3 linked regions of the Anolis sagrei genome follow. The protein of the gene in region 1 purifies or fractionates together with the protein of each later gene. This does not show direct contact. Links are inferred from orthologs where the notes say so. Each region holds a gene or a part of one and is shown on either strand. Other genes may lie near its edges. The genes, in order: KIF24, CEP97 and CCP110.

The links.
Region 2: the proteins of KIF24 (region 1) and CEP97 purify together in Homo sapiens (co-immunoprecipitation; 4 studies listed by BioGRID and IntAct, with this or other methods). This does not show direct contact. The link is inferred for Anolis sagrei from reciprocal best matches to the Homo sapiens genes KIF24 and CEP97.
Region 3: the proteins of KIF24 (region 1) and CCP110 purify together in Homo sapiens (co-immunoprecipitation; 4 studies listed by BioGRID and IntAct, with this or other methods). This does not show direct contact. The link is inferred for Anolis sagrei from reciprocal best matches to the Homo sapiens genes KIF24 and CCP110.

Annotation. Positions count from the first base shown.
Region 1 is NC_090022.1:298,187,388-298,195,276, reverse strand, and holds the start of KIF24 (kinesin-like protein KIF24), read left to right. Parts: upstream 1-4,797; 5' UTR 4,798-4,852; intron 4,853-7,889. UniProt on the Homo sapiens protein: Microtubule-dependent motor protein that acts as a negative regulator of ciliogenesis by mediating recruitment of CCP110 to mother centriole in cycling cells, leading to restrict nucleation of cilia at centrioles.
Region 2 is NC_090023.1:43,163,232-43,170,599, forward strand, and holds the start of CEP97 (centrosomal protein of 97 kDa), read left to right. Parts: upstream 1-4,302; 5' UTR 4,303-4,361; coding exon 4,362-4,425; intron 4,426-4,552; exon of another isoform or gene 4,553-4,814; coding exon of another isoform or gene 4,815-4,821; intron 4,822-7,043; coding exon 7,044-7,186; intron 7,187-7,368. Other genes in the region: RPL24 (large ribosomal subunit protein eL24), read right to left, coding at 192-255, 802-938, 2,151-2,261, 3,932-4,007, 4,144-4,148. UniProt on the Homo sapiens protein: Acts as a key negative regulator of ciliogenesis in collaboration with CCP110 by capping the mother centriole thereby preventing cilia formation. Required for recruitment of CCP110 to the centrosome.
Region 3 is NC_090034.1:25,650,507-25,657,939, forward strand, and holds the start of CCP110 (centriolar coiled-coil protein of 110 kDa), read left to right. Parts: upstream 1-4,334; 5' UTR 4,335-4,572; exon of another isoform or gene 4,573-4,616; intron 4,617-5,525; exon of another isoform or gene 5,526-5,916; intron 5,917-7,433. Other genes in the region: GDE1 (glycerophosphodiester phosphodiesterase 1), read right to left, coding at 81-186, 618-793, 3,464-3,718.

The sequences.
Region 1 (7,889 bases):
ATTATATTAATCATAACAATATTTTGATAGTTTGATTTTAAACTGCAAGTTTAACCTATGAAATCCAATAATATTTAATATAGAAATAAATACACTAAATAATATTTCATTTATTGCACACTAAATGTGGGATTTTAAGAAAATGACTTAACTCACCCAATCAGGCTGTTTCCTCCTTTAGAGACTAAAAGGAAAGACCTGCACAGAGCCTGACTGCAATGGAGCTTCCTGATTGGTCCACACGCTTGTCAATCTCCGTGTCAACCAGCCCTGCAATCGTTGCATCCAATCAGAATGAGGCAAGACGGTTACCCTAGCAACAGCTGCCCGCCTTTACGTGACAGGGCAGCGAGGGAGGAGCGGTGTATTAAAAACAGAGCTTTGATTAGAGTTCAAACTAAGATTGACAGTCAGATCCACCAATTGGGGGAGCTACGTGGTTGCCCTAGCAACAATTGCCCGCCTTTGACGTGACCGAGCAGCGAGGGCGGAGCGGTGTAGTAAATACAGAGCTTTGATTCGATTTCAAACTAAGATTGACAGGCAGATTCACCAATTGGGGGGAGCTATGTGGTTGCCCTAGCAACAGTTGCCTGCCTTTGACATGACCGAGCAGCGAGGGCGGAGCGGTGTAATAAAAACGGAGCTTTGATTAGATTTCAAACTACGATTGACAGGCGGATCCACCAATCAGAGGGAAAAGGTGAGGTTCTTTCCTTATTGGACGGAGGATGACAAGTCTAGCTAAACTTGAGGGACGGAAGAAGCGAATAAAGGGGCGGGGACTGAGACTTTACGTCCGCTTTCTTGATTGGCCAGACGTAGCCCCGCCCCTTTCGCTTCCTGGATTCCCATTGGGTGGTTTTGTGGACGTCGCCGGCGCGGCGTGCGGGCGCGAGGCTTTGAACGCCACGCTTGGCGGCGTTGCCTTGGAAACGCGCGGCCTAGGCGGCGCCTCTCGAGTTCGCCTCAGTCTTGCTTGTTTGCGGCCTTCCTTCACGTATCTTTGTATTCACAAGTTATTTCGAGCCTGTTTCTTTTTTGTTGACAAGACTAGGCCTCTGCTTTCCTGTCGCCAAGGTGACAAGCCGTTTATGAAGGAAATGAGTGAGAGGTAATACTAAATTGATCTGGATTTATATATATAATTGCTTTTCTTCCAATTTTACCTAGATCATTTGGTTTATAATTATATTACTGAGTTTTTGTTTTATTATACCTCCCCTCTCTTTGTGTGTATATGTGTGTATATGTGTGTGTGTGTGTGTATATAATATTTACATATGCTTTGGTTAGACCACTTTACCTGGAATATTGTGTCCAATTCTGGGCACCACAATTCAAGAGAGATATTGACAAGCTGGAGTGTGTCCAGAGGAGGGCGACTAAAATGATAAAAGGTCTGGAGAACAAGCCCTATGAGGAGCGGCTTAAGAAGCTGGGCATGTTTAGCCTGAAGAAGAGAAGGCTGAGAGGAGATGTGATAGCCATGTATAAATATGTGAGAGGAAGCCACAGGGAGGAGGGAGCAAGCTTGTTTTCTACTTCCCTGGAGACTAGGACGCAAGGGAACAATGGCTTCAAACTACAAGAGAGGAGATTCCATCTGAACATGAGGAAGAACTTCCTGACTGTGAGAGCCGTTCAGCAGTGGAACTCTCTGCCCCAGAGTGTGGTGGAGGCTCCTCCTTTGGAAGCTTTGAAACAGAGGCTGGATGGCCATCTGTCAAGGGTGATTTGAATGCAATATTCCTGCTTCTTGGCAGAATGGGGTTGGACTGGATGGCCCATGAGGTCTCTTCCAACTCTTTGATTCTATTATTCTATTACTCTGTGATATGCACATACACAGAAATAGAATAATATAATGCGTTATATATATGTGTGTGTGTGTTGTTGTTGTTGTTGTTGTTGTTCATTCGTTCAGTCGTTTCCGACTCTTCGTGACCTCATGGACCAGCCCACGCCAGAGCTCCCTGTCGGCAGTCACCATCCCCAGCTCCTTCAAGGTCAGTCCAGTCACTTCAAGGATGCCATCCATCCATCTTGCCCTTGGTCGGCCCCTCTTCCTTTTACCTTTCACTTTCCCCAGCATAATTGTCTTCTCTAGGCTTTGCTGTCTCCTCATGATGTGGCCAAAGGACTTCCACTTTGTCTCTAGTATCTAGTGTGTATATATATATAGAGAGAGAGAGAGAGAGAGAGAGAGAGAGTAAAAGACATTATAAATATACAGAAGGAAATAGCATAATGTAATGTATAATTAATATATATATCGTAAAAATAATCTTAAAAATACAAAGGGAAATAGTATAATAAATGTATAAATATAATGTATAGCTTAAAGAGCTGGGCATGTTTAGCCGGAAGAAGAGAAGGCTGAGAAGAAGTCATAGGGAGGAGGGAGCGAACTTGTTTTCTGCTGCCCTGGAGACTAGGACTTCAAACTACAAGAAAGGAGATTCCATCTGAACATTATGAAGAACTTCCTGACTGTGAGAACTGTTTAGCAGTGGAACTCTCTGCCCCGGAGCGTGGTGGAGGCTCCTTTGGAGACTTTAAACAGAGGCTGGATGCAATTTTCCTGCTTCTTGGCAGAATGGAGTTGGACTGGATGGCCCACCAGGTCTTGTCCAACTCTATTATTCTATGATTTTATGATAACAGGGTTGGTAGGACCATAGCTTTATAAACAAGTATCTTGTTCTCCCAATAGATGTCTCGATCCTCAAACACTCTCTGCTTCATTTGAGAAAATTCTGCATTTGCAAAGCAAAGCAGACAGTGTTGTATTTCAGCGTTGATGTTGACTTTTCTGGAGAGGTGGCTGCCAAGGTAGCGGAAATGGTCAAAGTTTTCTAACGTTACACCATAAAGTTGTATTTCTGGCATTGCAAACGGATTGGCTGGTGCCTTTTGGTGAAATAGCACTTTGGTTTTCTTGGTGTTCAGTGGAAGGCCAAGTTTTTTGTATGCTTCTGCAAAGGTGTTTAGAGTGGCTTGTGTATGTTTTGGGTAGTTGAACTCATCAAGTGCTAGGCCATTTTTGGCAATATATAAATATGTGATAATACTGACAATAGGAGCAATGCATTTGCACTCTCAGTGGTTCACATGTATTTTAGGGCACTTTAGGAGTTAAGTTCTTCCTTAGGAGCTTTGTCAAAAAAGATAATGCACTCAGTTCTCACTTCGAAATCCCTTTAAATAATCCAGTTAAAAGTGTGAGGTGGCATTGGCCTTATAATGCCTTATAATGGAAGATCTGCTCTTTAGTCTATTTCACTCTTCTATTTCACTAGAAGAGATCTTTATATAAGAAAAAGCCAGTCATTAAACTTTAATGCCAGGAATTTGGATTTGGCTAGGAGCCATCACTGCTGTCTTCCTTTCACCTAGTTCCACTCAATAATCCGGTGAATTTTGAACCAAGAGCAGCTATGCCAAATTACCTTCCAAAGAGAAATCTTGTGCAGTGCAGTAATCTAGATGGGATGTCACCAGGCTGTGAAGAATTGTGACCTGGAGGGATACACTGGCCCCACCAGTAGCAGACAAAGTAAGGTGATTGGTACCACGGAAGATGCTAGAATTCAGTGATGCATGGCCATCAATAAAGGCAAACCTGAACTGTGTTAGGGAATCGTGATCCTCCTGTTGTCCTTGGGCTGTAGTTCTCAGAAGTCTTCATGGTCAACTAGGCTGGTTAGAGCTTCTGCAAGTTGCGGGGTATTCATTCCTGCTGCCTCTGAACATTTCTACTGCAGCTCCAGGAAAGACATTAGGCTGGGAGAGAGCACTGAGCAGGTAGAGTACAATGCACCGCCTGCTCATTTTTGGGTGATTCCTCCATCCCAGCAGCTCTGAAAATCCTGCTGTTACAGTGATTGAGAGATGTGGGAGGAAGGAGATCATTCAGAGGAGGAAGTATCTGATCTCAGCTATGGAGAAGGGGCTACAGTGAAAGTGTCCTCCTTTTCCTTGGAGAACAAGAGCCACCAATTCTTCCATATCTGAATTACCCCCTCCCTCCTTGTTATAAAGCATTGGCGGTGTTTCCCTCTTAGGACTTGATAGGTGAAGAGAATTGCCTCTTCCTCCCACCCAAAACAGGTGACATACATGTAGGCCAGACCTATGAATGTGTAAGTCACTAACAGGATGTTTCCCAGGCTATTTCATGGATTTAAATTGTGAATTTCCAGATCCAAGTTGTTTGTTGCCTTTATTGGATTAGGTGCAGACACTGGGTTGCGGTTTGGCCCATATCTTAAGGTCTAAAATGAAGCTTGTCACCCTAGATTCTAAGGTGAGGTTTTGCTGCTGCAAAGCACATAAGCTTTTTATTTTTCTTAAAGTGGGTAGTTCTGCACTACTAATTGGATTGGCACAGACATAAATCCCAGCTCAGGTCTACGCACTGACTTCCTTATGTTTTATTTTACTATTGTTATGTTATGCTGTTGGGCTGGACTCCTCTAAACAGAGATTACTGTGGGGATTACAATGATTACTTGGGAAGAGATTACCTCACTGTTTTCCTATAGTCTTACTGGGCCTTTTACTTTCCATCATAGAGTGATACCTGAGGACCGGTGGAGTCACTACAGTGGCGGGCTAGAAGTAGAGAGATGCTCCTGAAGATTGCAATCCACCATGAAGCAGGGATTTGGACTAGATTGACCCTTTTGGTCCCTTTCAGCTCTCAAGTTCCTAAGACTATTGGCTGACTTTCATCCAGGCATTTTATCTTACTTTACTCACAAGATTTTTCTGAAGCTGACATGGGTGGTAGGAAATGTGGATGCCATTCCAAGCTCCTGGGAGGAAAGAGAGAATAAAAATGTAATAAGTAAGTGCTCATTTCATTGCATTTGCCTAGCTTGTTTCACGTGCAGAATCTTTGCTACACAGACATTTAACACTTGAGCTATTGTGCAGGTGTCAACATTTTAGAATAGATGCAAACAAACTAATTACACTGATGGGGATGTTACAATGTTTGTAGACAATGTATTTTCCAGACAAGACCATGCTGCGGTGAAATTAGCTTCTCTCTGAGTATACAGTTTTCGTACAGTTGGAAATGAAGAGGGCTTCAGAATTATTTTTCATATTTCTATCTGGTTTGGTGTGGAATACCAGTGAGAGTACCAGAATCTCTCTTTTTCTTTATACCTTGAGAGGATCCTTGGCTTTTGGTTCTCCACTTTCCTTGAAATGAGAAGGGAGATTGCAATGAACGAATTGGCGGTCCTGTTCCTTTACTACTTTCATGTAATGTTTTTATGTCTTTGGGGTGCAAATTAGATTCTGAGCTTTTCCACCTTGACTAAACTTTCTTGCAAGGCAGAGCAAAATGCTTTTTGAATCTCTTGAGAAGAGTACTGTTATTCTGTTATTCAGCTTCCAACTGGATTTACTGCAGCGATGGGCTTTCAGCATGCCAAAGGGGCTAATTCTCTGTGTTGAAGAATTTTCACCTCCTTTAGACTCTACAAGATATTAGGAAAGAGTCTCACTGAAACTTCCAAGCAGCAATGTTTCATCCCATAAGTGGTCTGAAAGCAGGATGCACACAGAAAGAGGATGGAAGTGGAGGAGGGAATTAAGTCTAGCAGATGCTGATGCTGCTTCTCTCCCTCTGGGACCAAGACTGTGGCGGTTAGGATGGATGGAGGCCTTAAGCATTATGGACCCATGCCTGATCTTCCTTTTCTTCTGAGGCTTGGGCTATGGCAGTTGGAATTGGGGGGGGGGGGGTTCTTCTCCTCCTGGGCCTAGCATGATGGAGCTGTGCTGCCTGTTCTTTCTGAGCCCACAACAGGGGCAGTTGGTATGAAGGGTGGATGGCCTTTCATTTGCTTGTGGGACATGGAGCTGTGCTTGCATCTCCTTTCCTGGGCCAGGGCTGTGGCAGTTGGAATGGTCGGAAAACCTTTTTAGGGTCTTGGTAGTGAATTGTGTGCTTTACCATACAGTCTTGGTGTTGCATCCTGCTTTTCACTGTAGGCAAAGAAAATGAAATGCAGCAATCAATGAAGTGCAACATGTCCTCCATACTTTCTTGGTTGTTCACTTTCTGGACCTGCCATAGGCATAATTCCCAATGCCATAGCTCAGAGGACATTTTAGGGCTTTGGAATGTCCCTCTCTCAGCTCAAGCTGAAGCAGGAAGCTCTTGGTGAAGTCTAACCACCCCCCTCTGCTTTAACTTGAAAGGCAGAAACTGGTTGCCATGTAACAGAAGCCACTAACACAGCAACCAAAACACAAGGAATGAAGTTGTACCTATGTATATAACAACACATTTCCTTTATATAGAAACAGATTTGCATTTCTGGTGGCATTGCTTACTGGAAAGAATCATGCACAACTTTAAAATAATCACCCACCCAGAATAACAAATTTATTTTATGCATGCACCATGAAAATGAGACGTTTTCATACCCTGCAACAGCTGTTGTCTCAAAGCAGTTGTTGCATCAGTTGTGGTGCGGAGGGTTGTTCAGTGAGATCATCAGCTAAAGTTATAGGGAAAGAGTGATTGGAAAATGGATAAGGATTTACAAGGGAAATGGATTAAATTGGCCAGAAAGGGGATAAATTGACTACATTTTTTGAGTTGAAGGTAGTAAAGGCAAATGTTTATCTGCAAAATTCTAAATACAGCGTGAGCATGAACCACAATAAAATTTTCTGCTTTTTTAAAACAAGTGTTTTCCACCTGCCTTTACAATTTACAGCACTTATGCTGAATGAAAAGACTAAATTAGTATGTGTTGAATTGAGCATGTAACTGAAAAACTTGACGATTTGAATCAGCAGGCACATTCCTTCATTAACTGTAAACAGTATAGTAGGCTGCAAGAAAACCAGAGTAATTCCCTGTGAGCATCAAGTGATAGTCATCTGCACATTAGAAGATCAGTTGTAAACTTGTGATTTGGAGACATGCTTTTCTTCTTCACCCACTTTTGTCCTGTATCACATCTTGTGAGCTCGAGGACATAGAAAGTTATAAAACTATGCCTAGTTTGATGAACGTGGATAGTGAAAACGTAATATTAGAATCTAGGGTCATCTGAAAGGTGGGAAATTCAAGACAGATAAATCAAATGAGTTTTGACCCCATCAGGTGTATACAGGATTGATTCCTCTGCTGTCATTGTCTTGGCTTTCTTCTTCTTCTTCTTCCTAAACATGGCTGCTGAGTTTCTTCTTGTATCCTCACTGAAAATATGTATGACTCTAATACATAGGTTTGCAGTATGAAGTTGCAAATTGAACCCAGTTCTCTCAGTCAGTGAAGGAAGTGTTTTCATGTGTTTGGTCAAATAGGACCAGCCAGCCAGCCATTCAGTTTGACTTTCTTGTTCTACTATGTGATCTCTTAGTTCATGCATGCACATGCAAATACAACAGCTGCTGTTCAAGCCAAAGTTTAAATCTGGGCGACAAATTCCTCCCAGATCCCCACCCATTGCGCCATCATAACTTATGAACCCATTTATTGGGAAGCCTGCTTTGCTGCAGGACTGTATGTTTGGAGGAACTGATACCTTTTAGTCAAAGTATGGAATGGTTACAGCTTTGAACATTGTGTCTCTTTTTTGTATAACTTTTGATATTGTCTCATGAATATATAATCAAATTATGTGGCTTTAACAAATATTGATATGAGCACATTGTTAGTGCCTCTTGTGTGTACCAGCAGGTGGAAAAAGAAGCAGGAATATGGATCTTGGAGGGAGAAACTTCCTGCTGTACTTCCCTTGTTGTATTTGGGAGGAGAAGTTCATAAAATCATAGAAATAGAAGGGACCTCAAGGATCATTGAGTACAATCTCCTGCCATGCAGGAATACACAACGACATCACTCCTGAAAG
Region 2 (7,368 bases), on another chromosome or scaffold:
CACATCAAATTATTACAAAACATATAGGAAACTGGCACTGAACCCTCAATTTTTATATTTGCATATTGTGGGTTGAAAAATCTAGATCTAAGCAGTATGTAATTATTTGTAAATACATTTGGGATTTTTTTAATGGAGAAAAGGAAAAAAGCACATGCAATTTTTAACATAAATCTCTGAAGAAGCATTACCTTTGTTGTGGAAGGTACAGTCTTCTTAGTTGCCTGCTTAGCCTTCTTTGCTTCCTTGGCAGCCCTGTTAATTATAATCACAGCATAACTCAATTCATACAACAAAATAAAGTAAAAGGGCACAGCAGAACATTGCAAGCTGCTGATAAAGCAATCCCATTCTGAACATGCACCAAAAGGAAAATAAACACTAACTAGCATAACTGAGATAGAAGCCAATTAGTGATATTTTGGCACTGATGCTGAAATTCTAAAACTCTTGGAGCCCTTAGAGAACATATTATTGTGGGAAACATCCCTGAATAACCTTCAAGTCTCCATTCAGTTTGTTTAGGTAAGAGAACGGAGAATACTCTTAAGTGCCATGAAACCAGTACAATACGGATACATCTCCCTCTCCATTTCAAACTTGGAAATCAGGCAGTAGAAAGGAAAAGATCCCATTGTATAGGATCACAATAACATTTTTTTACCAAGGCTAGTCAAAAGCTTCAGCATCATTTTAAAAAAATTACATTAATTTCAGTGTATCTTGTTTACACTGAATACAAAGAGGTAGCCATGGAATGGTAAATAAATGCAAACCAAGAAATATGTGGTAACTGCTCACCTAATAGCCTGTTCCCGTTGAGCTTTTCGCACCTCAGGCTTTTGATTCCTCTTGGCCATGATTTCAGCCAAAGAGGCTCCTGTGATGGCTCTATGGCCCTTGACAGCGCGGCGAGTACGTTTCTTTTGTACTTCTTCCTGAAAAATGGAAAAAAAAAAGATGGAACATTAAATACTTTCTGAAGCCATGTGGAAGGAGTAAGTGCAATTTTTTGTAGGCCTCAAAGATTCTGCTCATATTTTAAGTTTCTACTTTCCTAACATACTGTACCTTAAATTAAAAAGCCTTGGTGGAAAAAATGCAACTATATGTGTAGAATATTTTTAGCACCATCTTTGAAAGCTGTTATAATTTTAATCATTTCCAGCAAAACTAAGCAACTACCTATTTAAAATCTTTGCTACAGTATTTATTGTGGAAAAACAAATCACAAAAATACCATCCTTGTTATTTTATATCTGTCTTTTAAAAAACATTTCTATAGTTGCTAAATGCAAACAAATCGGAACTAGGTGAAAAATCGGTGATACAACTCACTTCTATTTTGGTCTAAGCCAGTCCCAGTGTGTTTCTCAATTTTATGCTCTGTCATTTTATCTGATATTTCTAACTTGCTACCTACTTTCAACATTTCAACAAAAATTAAATCAATTTTGGAAAAGCAAACTATAGAGAAACCTCTATATTGCTGGAAGGATAAACATCTTAGTATTATCTGAGGTAAAGTGAGAGTGATTCAATGGCTGCCTTATGTATGAATTGATCAAAACTGAAATCCCTTCAATAGGATGCATAGAAATTCACGGAGCCTAGAACCATGACAATATATATTTAGGTTGTTTGTTCCATTTTTTGAGACGCACACTTAAACTACTTATCTGGAACCAAACCCTAACAAGTTCAACTTATTTGTAAGTAGAAAACATGGGACTGTGCTGAAAAGCCCTTGTTCCTGCTTTTAAAAGCTAACTACAGATGTTTAAGGAAACATCGGCCTATTAGTGCTAAACCGTTCTTCGAGTATTTCCAAACTATACTTGTCAACCTATACACATGCACTTCTGTCCTTTTCAAAAGCAGTTCAAGGGAAGCATAAATGTCAACAAAATGCTAAAACCAGTTCTCTAGGAAAGGGATTATGAAAGATTAAAGCCTCTATCTTAACAGATCATGCTACATCCCTGGATACAATACAACACAAGAAATATTTAAAAAGTTAAACCAAAATAGTAATTTGTAATTTATTAATGCCATTTAATAAAGCAATACTGTAAGTGATTAGAAATGCAATGCAACTATGATAATTTTTCAATTTCAAAGACTCAACAAAGATATTACAACATATTTACCGACTGCCCTTTCTTGTGCTTCCGCCTGTATAGAACAGTCCAGTTGATCTGGCGGGGGTTTCTCTTTGAGAGGAAGGCAGACTCACATTTTGCATTCAAAAACTGGAAAACCTGGAACATCAGATGATTTTTTAGTCAAGTTTGGAAACATCTAACCACAGACACAGCTCATATTACCATAAAAGTTCAAATACTGTCAAATTAAGTTCTTTCTGATAAATCATGTAAGCCACTTGTATGCCCCATTAAAAACCTTACAGGTCCACACCAGCTTCTATCACATATGTAAACTTTGTGTATGGTGAGAGATGGACTAGAAAGCTCTTTCACAGGATCTAAAATATTATAAATCCAAAAAATGCAGTGACGCTAAGGTCTCAGATTACTGGAACCACTACAGGATGAATACCACTTCAGTGCTCCAAAATGCAGTAGGTGGCTGAGATACTGGGTGCATCTACAAATTGACACTTTTAAGAGCTTTGGCTCAATGCTGTGGGATCCTGGGATTTGTAGTCTGAGAGCACAGCACACTTTGCAGAAACAGCTTGTAAAACTACAACTCCCATGACTCCACAGCATCATGGCATGGCATTGAAATCGTGTCAAACTATGTAGACGCACCCAATAACAATTTCAGGATGATTTTATTTATATCATTTCATGCACACAGTGCTGCACAGCCTCTTAAACCACTCAGCTACTGAACTTGCTGATCGAAAGGTTGGCAATTCAAATCTGTGGAGCCGGGTGTGCTCACACTGTTAGGCCCAGCTTCTGCCAATCTAGCAGTTTGAAAAAATGCAAATATGAATAGATCAGGAATGGGAAAACTTTGGCCCTCTAGGTGTTTTGGAGTTCAACTGGCTGTTATGAATTGTAGGAGTCAAAGTCCAAAACACCCAGAGGGCCGAAGTTTTCCCATGCCTGGAATAGATCAAGAGGTACCACTTCAGCGGGAAGGTAACGGCACTTCATGCAGTTATGCCGACCACAAGACCTTGGAGGTGTCTACGGACAACGCCAACTCTTCGGCTTAGAAATTGAGATGAGCACCACACCCCAGAGTCAGACACGACTGGACTTAATGTCAAGGGGAAACCCTTACCTTTACTTATTTCATGCACAAAAACTACTCTAATTAGAATTAATTTTAGGCTCTGTGTCAGAAGTGTATATGAAACACAACTGGACCCTCATCTTTTGATTTGGACCCCATCTCCAAAGTATCTCTTTATGTAAATACAGCAGTCTCGCTTATCCAACATAAACGGGGCAGCAGACCATTGGATAAGCGAAAATGTTGAATAAGTCGGGATCAAGGAAAAGCCTATTAAATGTTGAATTATGTTATGATTTTACAAATTAAGCACCAAAAATATGTTTTATAACAAATCAACTGAAAAAGCTGTTCAATACATGGTAACATAATATAGTAATTACTGTATTTACGAATTAGCACCAAAACATCACAATATATTGAAACAACTGTGGATCTCGGTGGGAGACTTAACAGTGTTGGATAATGCAGAACACTGGATGAGCGAAGGTTGGATAAGCGAGACTCTACTACAGGCATCCTCAAACTGCGGCCCTCCAACTCCCAATTCCCTAACGAGCTTGTTCAATGGTCAGGAATTCTGGGAGTTGGAGGCCCAAACAGTTTGAGGATGCCTGCTCTACTGTATTAAGGGTGCAGGGAACTCTAGGACCAGGCCCCAGAGGATAACAAGGCCCCATTGTATGATTTCGTCGGCTCCTTGGCCCATCTTTTCTCTTGCCTTGCCATCTGTCCTCGCGTAGCGTCGGCCGTGGCCCGGGTAGATCTTGTACCCACTGAAGCTGCATAGCTCGACCCTGAAGCGCGAGAAAGGAAGAATGGGGAAGCGTCAGCGAGCGACAAAGCGCGGAACTCACAACCTTTCCCGCCCCACCGAGCCCCCAAACCGGAGGATGGCGCCGGATTAAACACCGCCTCATCCCGGTTCCTTACTTCATGATGGCAGCCGGCTCGCCTCGGAGGCAACTCCAGCGGCGAAGAGAAAGAGAGGATCATGGGAAAACGCCTTCTTATACTCCCCGCGCGGGGCACGACGGGAAACAAGGAGGTGCTCATTAATAGCCGGAAATATTTTTTTTCCGCCGAGTGGATTTGACCAATCAGCGTCCGGCGCCGGCGCGGTTGCCTAGCGTTGGGAGCAAGCGGGAAATATGGCGGCGGCGACCGAAGGGAAGAGGCCTGAGGCGTCGAAGGCAAGAATGAGCGGCAAGGAAGGTGCGCCTCTCGGTTCAGGATTGTGTGCTGTCGCTTTGCGAGGAAGGCAAAGCGGGGAAAGGCGGCAAAAAGTACCCCGGCAGGGCTGTTTGGCTTTTCAGCAGGTCCCCCCGCGGGGCCTTGTGGGAGTTGTAGTCTTTGTCCTCGCTCAACTTGGTTGGCGTGTTAAGTGTGTTGTTAGGGCTGGACTACAAATCCCAAAAGATCTTGCGCAAGGCCGTTGTCTTTCTCTGCTTTGAGAGGATTAGGAATAATGTGACAAAGGCAATTTGGAAGGAGAACAAGGAAGCTCTGTCTGCTGTGAGGGGGGGGAAAGCAAAGCCCCTTTGTCTCTAAATCTTCCTTCCTTTGCGGCTTCTCTCTATTCGTGCATATAAAGTGGATTTCTAATGGCAGGTGCGGTCGACCATATAAGTGTAACAGACAGTGGTTGGGAGGTGTTTCTGTCATTCCTTTTTAAAAATATCTAGCTGTTTACCCCTCTGTATGATGATCCTGATACTGGAGGTAAATGGGGTGGTTAGAATGAGGAACATTTCTGTGGAACAGGCTCTTTATCTGACTTATTTCTGCTTTGAGTGCCAAGACTGAGGCCTTCTACTATTATAGTAATAACAATAGAGCTTTGAATACTTGGAAAAATGCAGAAATGTCTGTATTTGAATGTTAGGCAGTCTTGAGGAATCAAACCAAAAATCTTGAGCAACTTTTTCGCAAAGAAACAACCTGTCTTCGCAGAGAATGGTGTTGCAGAAAATGCAGGTTTTGGGTTGTGAGTTTTCTGGGCTGTATGGCCATGTTCCAGAAGCATTCTCTCCTGACGGTTTGCCCATATCTATGGCAGGCATCCTCAGAGGTTGTGAGGTTTGTTGGGAACTAGGCAAGTGGGTTTTATATATCTGTGGGAGAAAGAACTCTTGTCTGTTTGAGGCAAGTGTGAATGCTACAATTGGCCACATTGATTAGCATTTAATGGCCTTGCATCTTCAAAGCTTTGGCCGCTTCCTGCCTGGGGGAATCCTTTGTTGGGAGGTGATTGCCTGGTTCTGTTTCTTGTCTGGGATTTCAATTGAAATCCCCAATCATCTGGACAATTTCAACAAAAAGGAAGAAACCACGGAAATGAAAAAACAAAAACTGGCTTCCAATATTAAAGAAACTCCAAAATCAAGAACAACACTCAGAAACAGGGGAATTCCAGACAAGAAATAATCAGGGCCAGTTAATTCTACTATACCACTGTTCTGCAAAATTATTAGTAATATTACATGAAATATACAATGGAATGCAGTATAATTTTATTGTAAAATAAATTGTGTTATAAAATAGTAAGGACAACGGAGTGTGTTTGAACATGCACAGAGTACCCATCCTCAGCTTCTGAACATTGAGATGTAGCCTTTTCCCTAAAAATATTAGAATTGGGGATAAAGTCAAAAGGTGTGGCTTTCTACCAGGTTTGGAGCATAAGCAGAGGCTTTTGGTTAAAAACTATATGAAGCATGCTGATCTGTGATTTAATTTTGCACTATTTGTTTCTAAAAATCCTCAATGCTTAGGAATGTGAAGTTATCAACCTATTTGCTACTATTCTCTATTCATAGAATAAACCATAAAGTTCAGTCCTATGCATGCCCATTGCCCACATAGGGCACATCTGCACTAACTATTCAATACAGTTTCAAATTGTTCTTCAAGAAAATGATTTCGGTGTACAGGAGATTATAAGAAGAGTGGAGGCCTTTAAAAGTGTTGTCAGGGGTTTTTTTTCTGCTGTCAGAAATTTAGAGACCCTTCCTTGACTCTCTAGGCCCCAGGTTTCTCATTTTAGTAAAATAAGCTTTCAGGTATGAAGAAAACTTATGGTATGTTTTGGTTATAAGAAGAAGAAAAAAAACCCTCTCAAGCTTATGTTTTAATCTGTATTGCAGTTTTGTATGTTTTTAACTGTTTATATGTTTTAGCTGTTTTATAATTTAATATGGTATGTTTATTGTTATGTGCATGATATTGCATTGAATTTTTGCCATAGTTTGTAGTACCCTTCGGGGTGAGAAGAACAGGGTAGAAATGGAGTAAAAAATAACATATTGTACTACATTTTCATATCAAAATTTAATAAACACCTTACTATCTCCAAGGAATGCATTCAGAACCACTTTACCATGGTAGATTAGCAACAGTGGCAACAACAGTTGGGTGGGGCTGTTCTGCAATAACAACAGCGAGAAACAAGTAGGAGAAGACAGGTATAGACCTTACTTTATTATGAAACTTTTCCTTGGTGTGTATTGAACACTCTTTGTCAGGAATATGAGACATTTCAAAGCACCTGGTGCATGTCACATATGCCGAATGTCATCTCAAAAAAACTCCTTAACTAAATAGCTGAATGGCACCATGTTGGTGAAGCATCGTTTGACTTAAAAGTTCCACCAAATGAGTTGACATTCCAGAAAGGCAGACAGTTGAATGAGCCAGACCAAACACAAACCATTTTTAGGTGTTAGAATCTGGGAAGCAGGTGACATGTGTTTTTTAACACTGGTGCATGCAACAGTATGTAACATGACCATTTTTGAGACTGATACACTTTGATCTTTCCTCTATTCTCATAGGTTCATTAGTTAATTGGTCAGGTCAGGGTTTACAAAAGTTGGGACCCACTTTATCCTGCGATGCTGATGCACATACTTTGGTTCTGGATAAAAACCAGCTAACTAAATTGGAGCACCTGGAGAATTTCAGGAACCTGCTACAGGTTAGTTGTCTCTGTGATAGAAACATGCCATTAGCCTTTTTACAGTTGCACCCCCAATGTTTTGGTATATGTTCTTTTTGTAGATTTTCAGTAAGTTTCATATTGAAGCTATGCCAACTTTAATAAGTATGAATATAAGATAACATGTTGAATTCTGCAAGTTTTCATGCATGTTTTTACTT
Region 3 (7,433 bases), on another chromosome or scaffold:
TCTTGTACAACGTTAAGTGAGCTCTACCATGTGAGGTCCAACAAGCACATGAGGTTTAAAGCATTCTAACAAAGAGGTACCTGATCAGCATGGCCTTTAACATCAAAGTAGATGATAAGGTCATAATGCATACTTTCCAAAACAGCTTCTTTCAGTGTCGGTATTTTCTCTCCACGATAATCCCTCCTGTAAGAAAAAAAAGTTGAATATTTCAGTAATGTGCATTCATAGAATCATTGAATTGTAGAGTTGAGAGAGACCTCGTGGGCTATCCAGTCCAAACCCCTGCCAAGAAGCAAGAAAATGTCCGGTCCAAAAAAAGGAACAATGCTTCACTGAATTGCCATGATGCATCTAAAAATACACTCCACAAAAACCACGGGAAGAATCTTCAAGCTCTCAAGGACAGCCTCCTCGCCCTGACAAACAATATTATCTCGTTTGTGTACAAGGATACATCTTATAGTTATTTATTCTGAGATGGACAACAGATCTGACTTTAAGCAGAAATAGTTTATATTTCACCCTTTCTTCAAGGCCTAAGTCAGAAATAACTTGAAGGCAGACAACAATTTTCCAAGATATGAATGGTGGTGTTCTATACATTTTTCACATACCATAATCTGTGCTTAGCGCATGGATTGTATCGCCGAATCTCAGCAAACGTCAAATCACGTAAATTTCCAGACCCGTCCGTAGTTCTGTCTACGGTGCTGTCATGCATCAGGACAGGAATGCCGTCGGCAGTGAATTCGAGATCAATTTCCACACCAGTTGCTCCATTCTCAGCTGCCTTAATAAAAAAATAAAACCTGCTTTAATCATGAACAAGGATATGAATGCATGATTTACATTTTAATTTACATCTGGATAGCATGACACTGGAAATGATGCAAATGAACAAATGACCTATCTATGCCAATGCCATCAATCAAACGATTTCTCTAATCAGGACAGGCCTACCAAACGGTTTGGTGCTGGTTCATGTCCTCCATGGAGACTGGGATTGTGAAGACAGTGTTATGGATGCATGCAATAAATAAATAAATGAGGGCAGGATAGTTGTTGCGTATCTCAAAACTGCTTAGGCTCATCCATACTTTGAAATTACGGTAATTGTGAGGCCCGACAGGATCTATACAAGGTACAGAAATGATGGGGAAGTGGTAAAATGCAATTTTACTGACTGTATCTGTGCCTAGTTTGGTAACTGCACAGTGGCAGATAGGAAGGCGATCCAAAGGGTCACCACTTCTGTACAGAGAATCATTGGTTGCCCTCTTTCCCCCCTCTTTGGAAGAACCTTATAAGTCCCACAGTCTTAAGAAAGCTCAGAGCATTCTTAAGGATCCATCTCACCCTTGATATTCTTTTTTTGTAACTCAAATGCCAACAGGGCTCTTCCCTCCTCCCACTCATTCTTCCTTTCCCTTCTTTTTCTCTTTCCTTTCCTTCCTTCCTTCCCCTCCTCGTTCTCCCTTCTCCAACTATGAAGGGGGCCTCCCTCATAATGTCTTCATGGCAACAGTGCTCTCTTGGTGGCTTTTTCTTCATTCCTGTTTATACACACACACAAGCCATCCCCTTCCACATGCTGTGGCCCAGTCTCTGTATATGTGTTTAGTGTGTGTATATATGTGTGTGTATATATATAAGTGCATATATGTGTGTACATGCAGATTGTGTATATGTGTGTGCTTGTCTATATGCATATTTGTGTGTATATATGTATGTATGCGGATATGTATATGTGTGTGCATGTATATGTAGATGTGTATATGTATGTATGTGTGTATGTATATGTATGTGTGTATATGGGTATCTTTGTGTGTGTTTGTGCATATATATTACGTGAATGTGTGTGTGAATGTGTGCATGTACATATGTATGAGTGTTATGTGTATTCGTATATATGGTGTTTTCTTTTGGATTTTTAAGTCTGTTCCTCTGGGGTTTTTTTGTGTGCGTGTGTGTTTATGGGTGATGGACACTCATTTGACTGTTAGGTATATTGTGTTCAAATTTTGTGTCAATTCGTCAAGTGGTTTTTGAGTTATGTTAATCCCACAAACAAACATTACATTTTTATTTATATAGATGTAAAAGGTTCGTTGTGGTGGTGGTGATTGGCATATTTCATCAATTCTAAGGCACCATCGATTCTGAGATGCATACTATTTTCAATTGTGAATTTTTTTAATGCTATTTGTATTGAATTCTGTTTCAATGTCTGTATATTTTAAATTGTCTACTAATGCTTTAATGTCAAGCTGCTTTGAGTCCCCTTTGGGGAGATAAAGCGGAGTATAAATAAATATAATAACAACAAAATATTTCCAGTTCCATCAACAGAAAAACAAGCTATGTGTATGTCTCAGATTCTATCCCATTTTTTGAGGTGTTTATATGAAAGGGGAAAGTGTGTTTTAGTCTTATATTTGTATTCCCCTTTTTTTCTCTGGATCTAGATCTAAAGCAACGTTTGCATGATTGAATCGGCTCATTATAAAGATCCGAAAACAACTGTTAATAGATATGCAAACACATATTTAAAAGTGAAATATTGCATTCATAAAAAAACCCAAGTCAATAGTAATAACAGTTACGGCAGAGACCTGAGATAAGAGAATTGCAGGGCCGGGTGGCAACATGTCAGAGGGCCACTTCCCCTAGCAACAGCCATTCCAGCCATTCGTAGAGGGACACGTCACCTAGCAACAGCCTTTGTGGTGCTGACGGATAGACTTTGGTCCATGTTATACAGCAGGCATGGGTCAACTTCGGCCCTCCCCCCAGGTGTTTTGGAATTCAACTCCCACTATTCCTAACAGCCTGCCGGCTACAGCTGACCGCATCTCCATCTACGAACCCACACACTCTTTCCGTTCATCTGGAGAGGCCCTGCTCGTGATCCCACCTGAGTCGCAAGCGCGTTTGGTGGAGACACGAGACAGGGCCTTTTCCGTGGTGCCCCCCCCCCGACTCTGGAACACCCTCCCCAAAGATCTTAGACAGGCCCCTACATTGGCAGCCTTCAGAAAGAACTTGAAGACCTGGCTGTTCCGAAGTGCCTTTCCCGAATAGGAAACCTCCATTACCAAGTCCCACAAGCACTTTATTAAAGCCAAGACCGCCGCACACTGCACACTGCACACGCCCATAAGCCTCATTTCCACCTGTCACATCAGCCCTTTTAACCCTTGTACCCTTACTCTGGCCCGGCCCAGTTTTATTGTGCCTTAGTGGATTGTTCTTTGCTTGTTGTTTTAGATGGCTTTAATTGTTTTAACTTGCCTAGGTTTTGTATTGTTGTATTGTTTGTTGAGGCCTTGGCCTTTGTAAGCCGCATCGAGTCCTGCGGGAGATGCTAGCGGGGTACAAATAAAGTTTAATAATAATAATACTAATAATAATAATACAGGTCGGCCCTGGCCTGAAGGCGCCTGCTGCCTGACCCACCGACCTGCCTGATGGCGGCGAGGGTGTTCTCGGGCGCGTCGTGCCCTCCTCCGCGGTGGGCCACGCGGGCCGGGTTCCCTCGGGGCTGCACCACCAGCCGGGCCCGCTCCAAGGGGACGGGCTCCAAGCTGAAGAGCCGCAGCGCCAGGTAGGCCCCGCCCGTCAGGAGGCAGGACAGCGTCGCGCTCCGGCTCAGCGCCAGCGCCGCCATTAACAGCACCGAGAAGGCCGCCAACAGGCCCTCGCAGTAGCAGAACATGGCGGCGGCGGCGGCGGCAGGAGCGCCGGGGAGACTTGCTTCTCCCCGCGCGGCCGCGGAGGCGACTGAGGCGAACCCGGAAGTGATCCGCCGCCAACACACAATCGCAGCGGCGCGAGGGCCTCAGCCAATCACCGCGCGGCGCCATGCCGGCGACCGCCAATCATCACGTAGCGTCTCCCAATCGCTGCCGACCTCAGCCAATAAAGAACCGAGCTCTGAGGCGTGTCTCTCTTCAATCCATTTGAACCTGCTTCCCACCTCAGCCGTCATCGCTTACCCTCGAGACTTCAACTACCAGAATTCCTCGCTGTTCGCGAAGCTGGCGAAGGCTTCTGGGAGTTGAAGTCCCAAGAGCCAGCCAATCGCCGCGCGGCGCCCCTTCCGTCCTCAGCCAATAGGGAGCCGAGCTTTCGGGCGCGTCTCCCTTCATTATTATTTGCTATTTTTTCATATTACTTCATATTGTTATCACACACTATCATTATCATTAGCTATTTTTTATGTTTCTTAATATTACCATTTGCTCTTTTCAGATCATATTATGATGTTATTTTGCTATCTTTTTATATTGTTATAATCTGATATTTTTCATATCACTGATACTACTACTACTACTACTACTACTACTCCTATTTTATTAGCAACGGTTCAGGCCAAGTTCATGGCGGTAGAGTAAGCCCCAAGGCGCACTGCAGCGTCATCTTGCCACAAACTACAACTCCCAGCAGGCCATCGCGCTTAAGGCGGAAGAAGCGGAGCTTCCCTTTCCCGACTTCCGGTTTCGGTAACCTAGAGACAAGGCGCGAGGAGCAGAAACCAGGAAGGCGGGGAGAGCGAGCGACGCCCTCACGGTGAGTGGCCCTAGACACGAAGGAAGGAGCTTTGACGAGACGAGGTACATGGCGGAACCGTTTCAGAGCTAACGATACATGCTTTTAGAAGAAAATGAAGATGACGGGCTGCTCGTGGCGTGTGCAAAGAACGGAGGAACTTCTAGGCCCAAATGGAGGTTTCAGCCTCCTATTCGATGAGGATACCTAATAATATAAACGCCGGGCCCCTTTTTTATCCTTTTGGAATCATGAATATTAGAAGTAGCAGTTGTTTGGTTGGGGCTTTTTGTGAATCACACTGGTTTTTGTGCCTGGGTGATCAATGTCTAATTGGAAATAGTAATTCCCTTGGGTTGCTGTGAGTTTGTCGGGCTGTCAGGCCATGTTCCAATAGCTTTCTCTCCTGACGTTGTGCCTGCATCTGTGGCTAATGCACACTCGGAGGCAGGTGCAGTGTATCTATATCTGTGGAATCATGTCCACGGTGGGAGGAAGAGCCTTTGTCCGCTTGAAGCAAGTGTGAATGTTGCAATTAGCCAGTTTTGATTAGCATTGAAAAGCCTTGCACCTGCAAAGCCTGGTAGTTGTTGCCCGAGGACATTCTCTGTTTGTGAGGTATTAACTGGCACTTACAGGAGCCCCCGGTGGTGCAGTGGGTTAAACCCCTGTGCTGGCAGGACTGAAGACCGACAGGTTCGAATCCAGGGAGCGTGGATGAGCTCCCTTTATCAGCTCCAGCTCCTCATGTGGGGACATGAGAGAAGCCTCCCACAAGGATGGCAATAACATCAAAACATCCGGGCATCCCCTGGGCAACATCCTTGCAGACAGCCAGTTCTCTCACACCAGAAGCGACTTGCAGTTTCTCAAGTCACTACTGACACGACAAAAAACCCCCAAAAAACTGGCACTTGATTGTTTGCTGTCTGGAGTCCCCCTGTTTTTTAAAAAGTTATTCTTTATTTACTGTCTTGATTCTGGTGTTTTTTCAATACTGGTAACCAGAATTTGTTCATTTTCATGGTTTCCTCCTTTCTGTTGAAATTGTCCATGTGTTTATTGTGGATTTCAGTGGCTTCTCTGCGTAGTCCGACATGGTGGTTGTCAGCGTGGCACAGCATTTCTGTGTTCTCAGATTACATTTATGTCCAGGTTGGTTCATCACATGCTCTGCTATGGCTGTCTTCTCTGGTGGAATTAGTCTGCAGTGCCTTTTGTGTTCCTTGATTCGTGTCTGAGTAATGCTGCTGTGTTTGGAGGTCTCTATGTAGACTTCATGGGGCTGTGATGGCGCAGCAGGTCAAACCGCTAAGCTGCAGAACTTGCTGACAAGAAGGTTGGTGGTTCGAATCCATGGATCAAGTGAGCTCTCGTTGTTAGCCTCAGCTTCTGCCAACATAGCAATTTAAAAACTTGCAAATGTGAGTAGATTAATAGGTACAGCTCCGAAGGGAGGGTAACGACACTCCATGCAGTCATGCCAGCCACGTGATCTTGGAAGCGTCTAGAGAATGCCGGCTTAGAAATGGAGATGAGCACCACCCCCCAGAGTCAGACTCGACTAGACTTAATGTCAGGGGAAACGTTTACCATTACTATGTAGACTTTTTGTCCACACCTGCTTGGTATGCAATAGACTCCTGCAGTGGTGAGAGGATCACTCTTTTCCTTTGCTGAACATACCAGTCCATGTAGGGCTTTAAAGGTCAATACCAACACTTTGTACTTTGCCCAGAAACTAATTGGCAGCCTGTGGAGTGACTTTAGGATAAGTGTAATATGCTCACCTCTGTTTTGTCTGGATTCAGTTTCAGTTTGTTTTTCCTCATCCAGCCCATTACCTCCTCCAGGCATTCATTCAGAGGAGACACGCTATCCTTAGCTGAAGCTCTTTTGGAGGGCATGGAGAAATATATTTGGGTGTCCTCAGCATGCTGATAACACCCCACCACATGCCTATGGATGATCTTTCCCAGTGGCTTCATGCAAATATTAAAGAGCATTGGGAATAGAATGAGCCCTTGTGGGACGCCAGAAAACTGCTCCTTTTTTGGGAGAAGCAGCTATCCCCAAGCTCCACCATCTGGAACCTGCCTGAGAGGAACAATCGGAACCACTGCAGCACCTTGCCTCTGATGGATTCCCAGGCGTTCCAGAAGAATACCCTGGTTGATGGTATCAAAGGCCGCTGAGAGATCTTAGAAGCACCAACAGGGACGCAAATGCCTTGTCAGTGTTGAGACTGTGATCATCCAGTAAGGCAACCATAGCAGTCTCAACATGATTTATATTTGCATATAGACCACTTTTCCGTAGCTTTCTAGGAGCTGATGTGGCATTTGGGAGTGTGCGATAGTGATTAGAATGTGGAAGGATGGGTGTCTTGTTTTGTAATTCTACATATATAATGTGCATTGGGGATGGCATTTAATTTTGTTGTACGATGTACAATGACAACAAAGTTATTCTATTCTATTCTTTGGGTGATAACCATCAAAATTGTTCCAACTCCAAAGATAGCTGGCATCGAATGTCTCGGTGCGGTCTTGGCCAGTAGGGAATCCTTAGCCATTCTTGTCGTTTACCGTGCACCGGGGTCACTGGGAGAGAGTCTGCTTAAGCTATTAGATCTTGTTGCGGACTGGGCCCTGAGTTTCCCCAGACTTATTGTCCTGGGTGACTTCAATGTACATGCCGAGGCACCGTCATCCTCATCAGTAACTAAGGACCTAGTACTAACCTTGGAAACTTTGGGGCTCTCATTAATCAAGACTCGCCCCACTCATCGGGCCGGCCATACTTTAGACCTGATTTTCTATATTGGAGTACGGACATCTTTATCGGCAGTAATTGATGTCCCCTGGTCTGACCACGCTGCC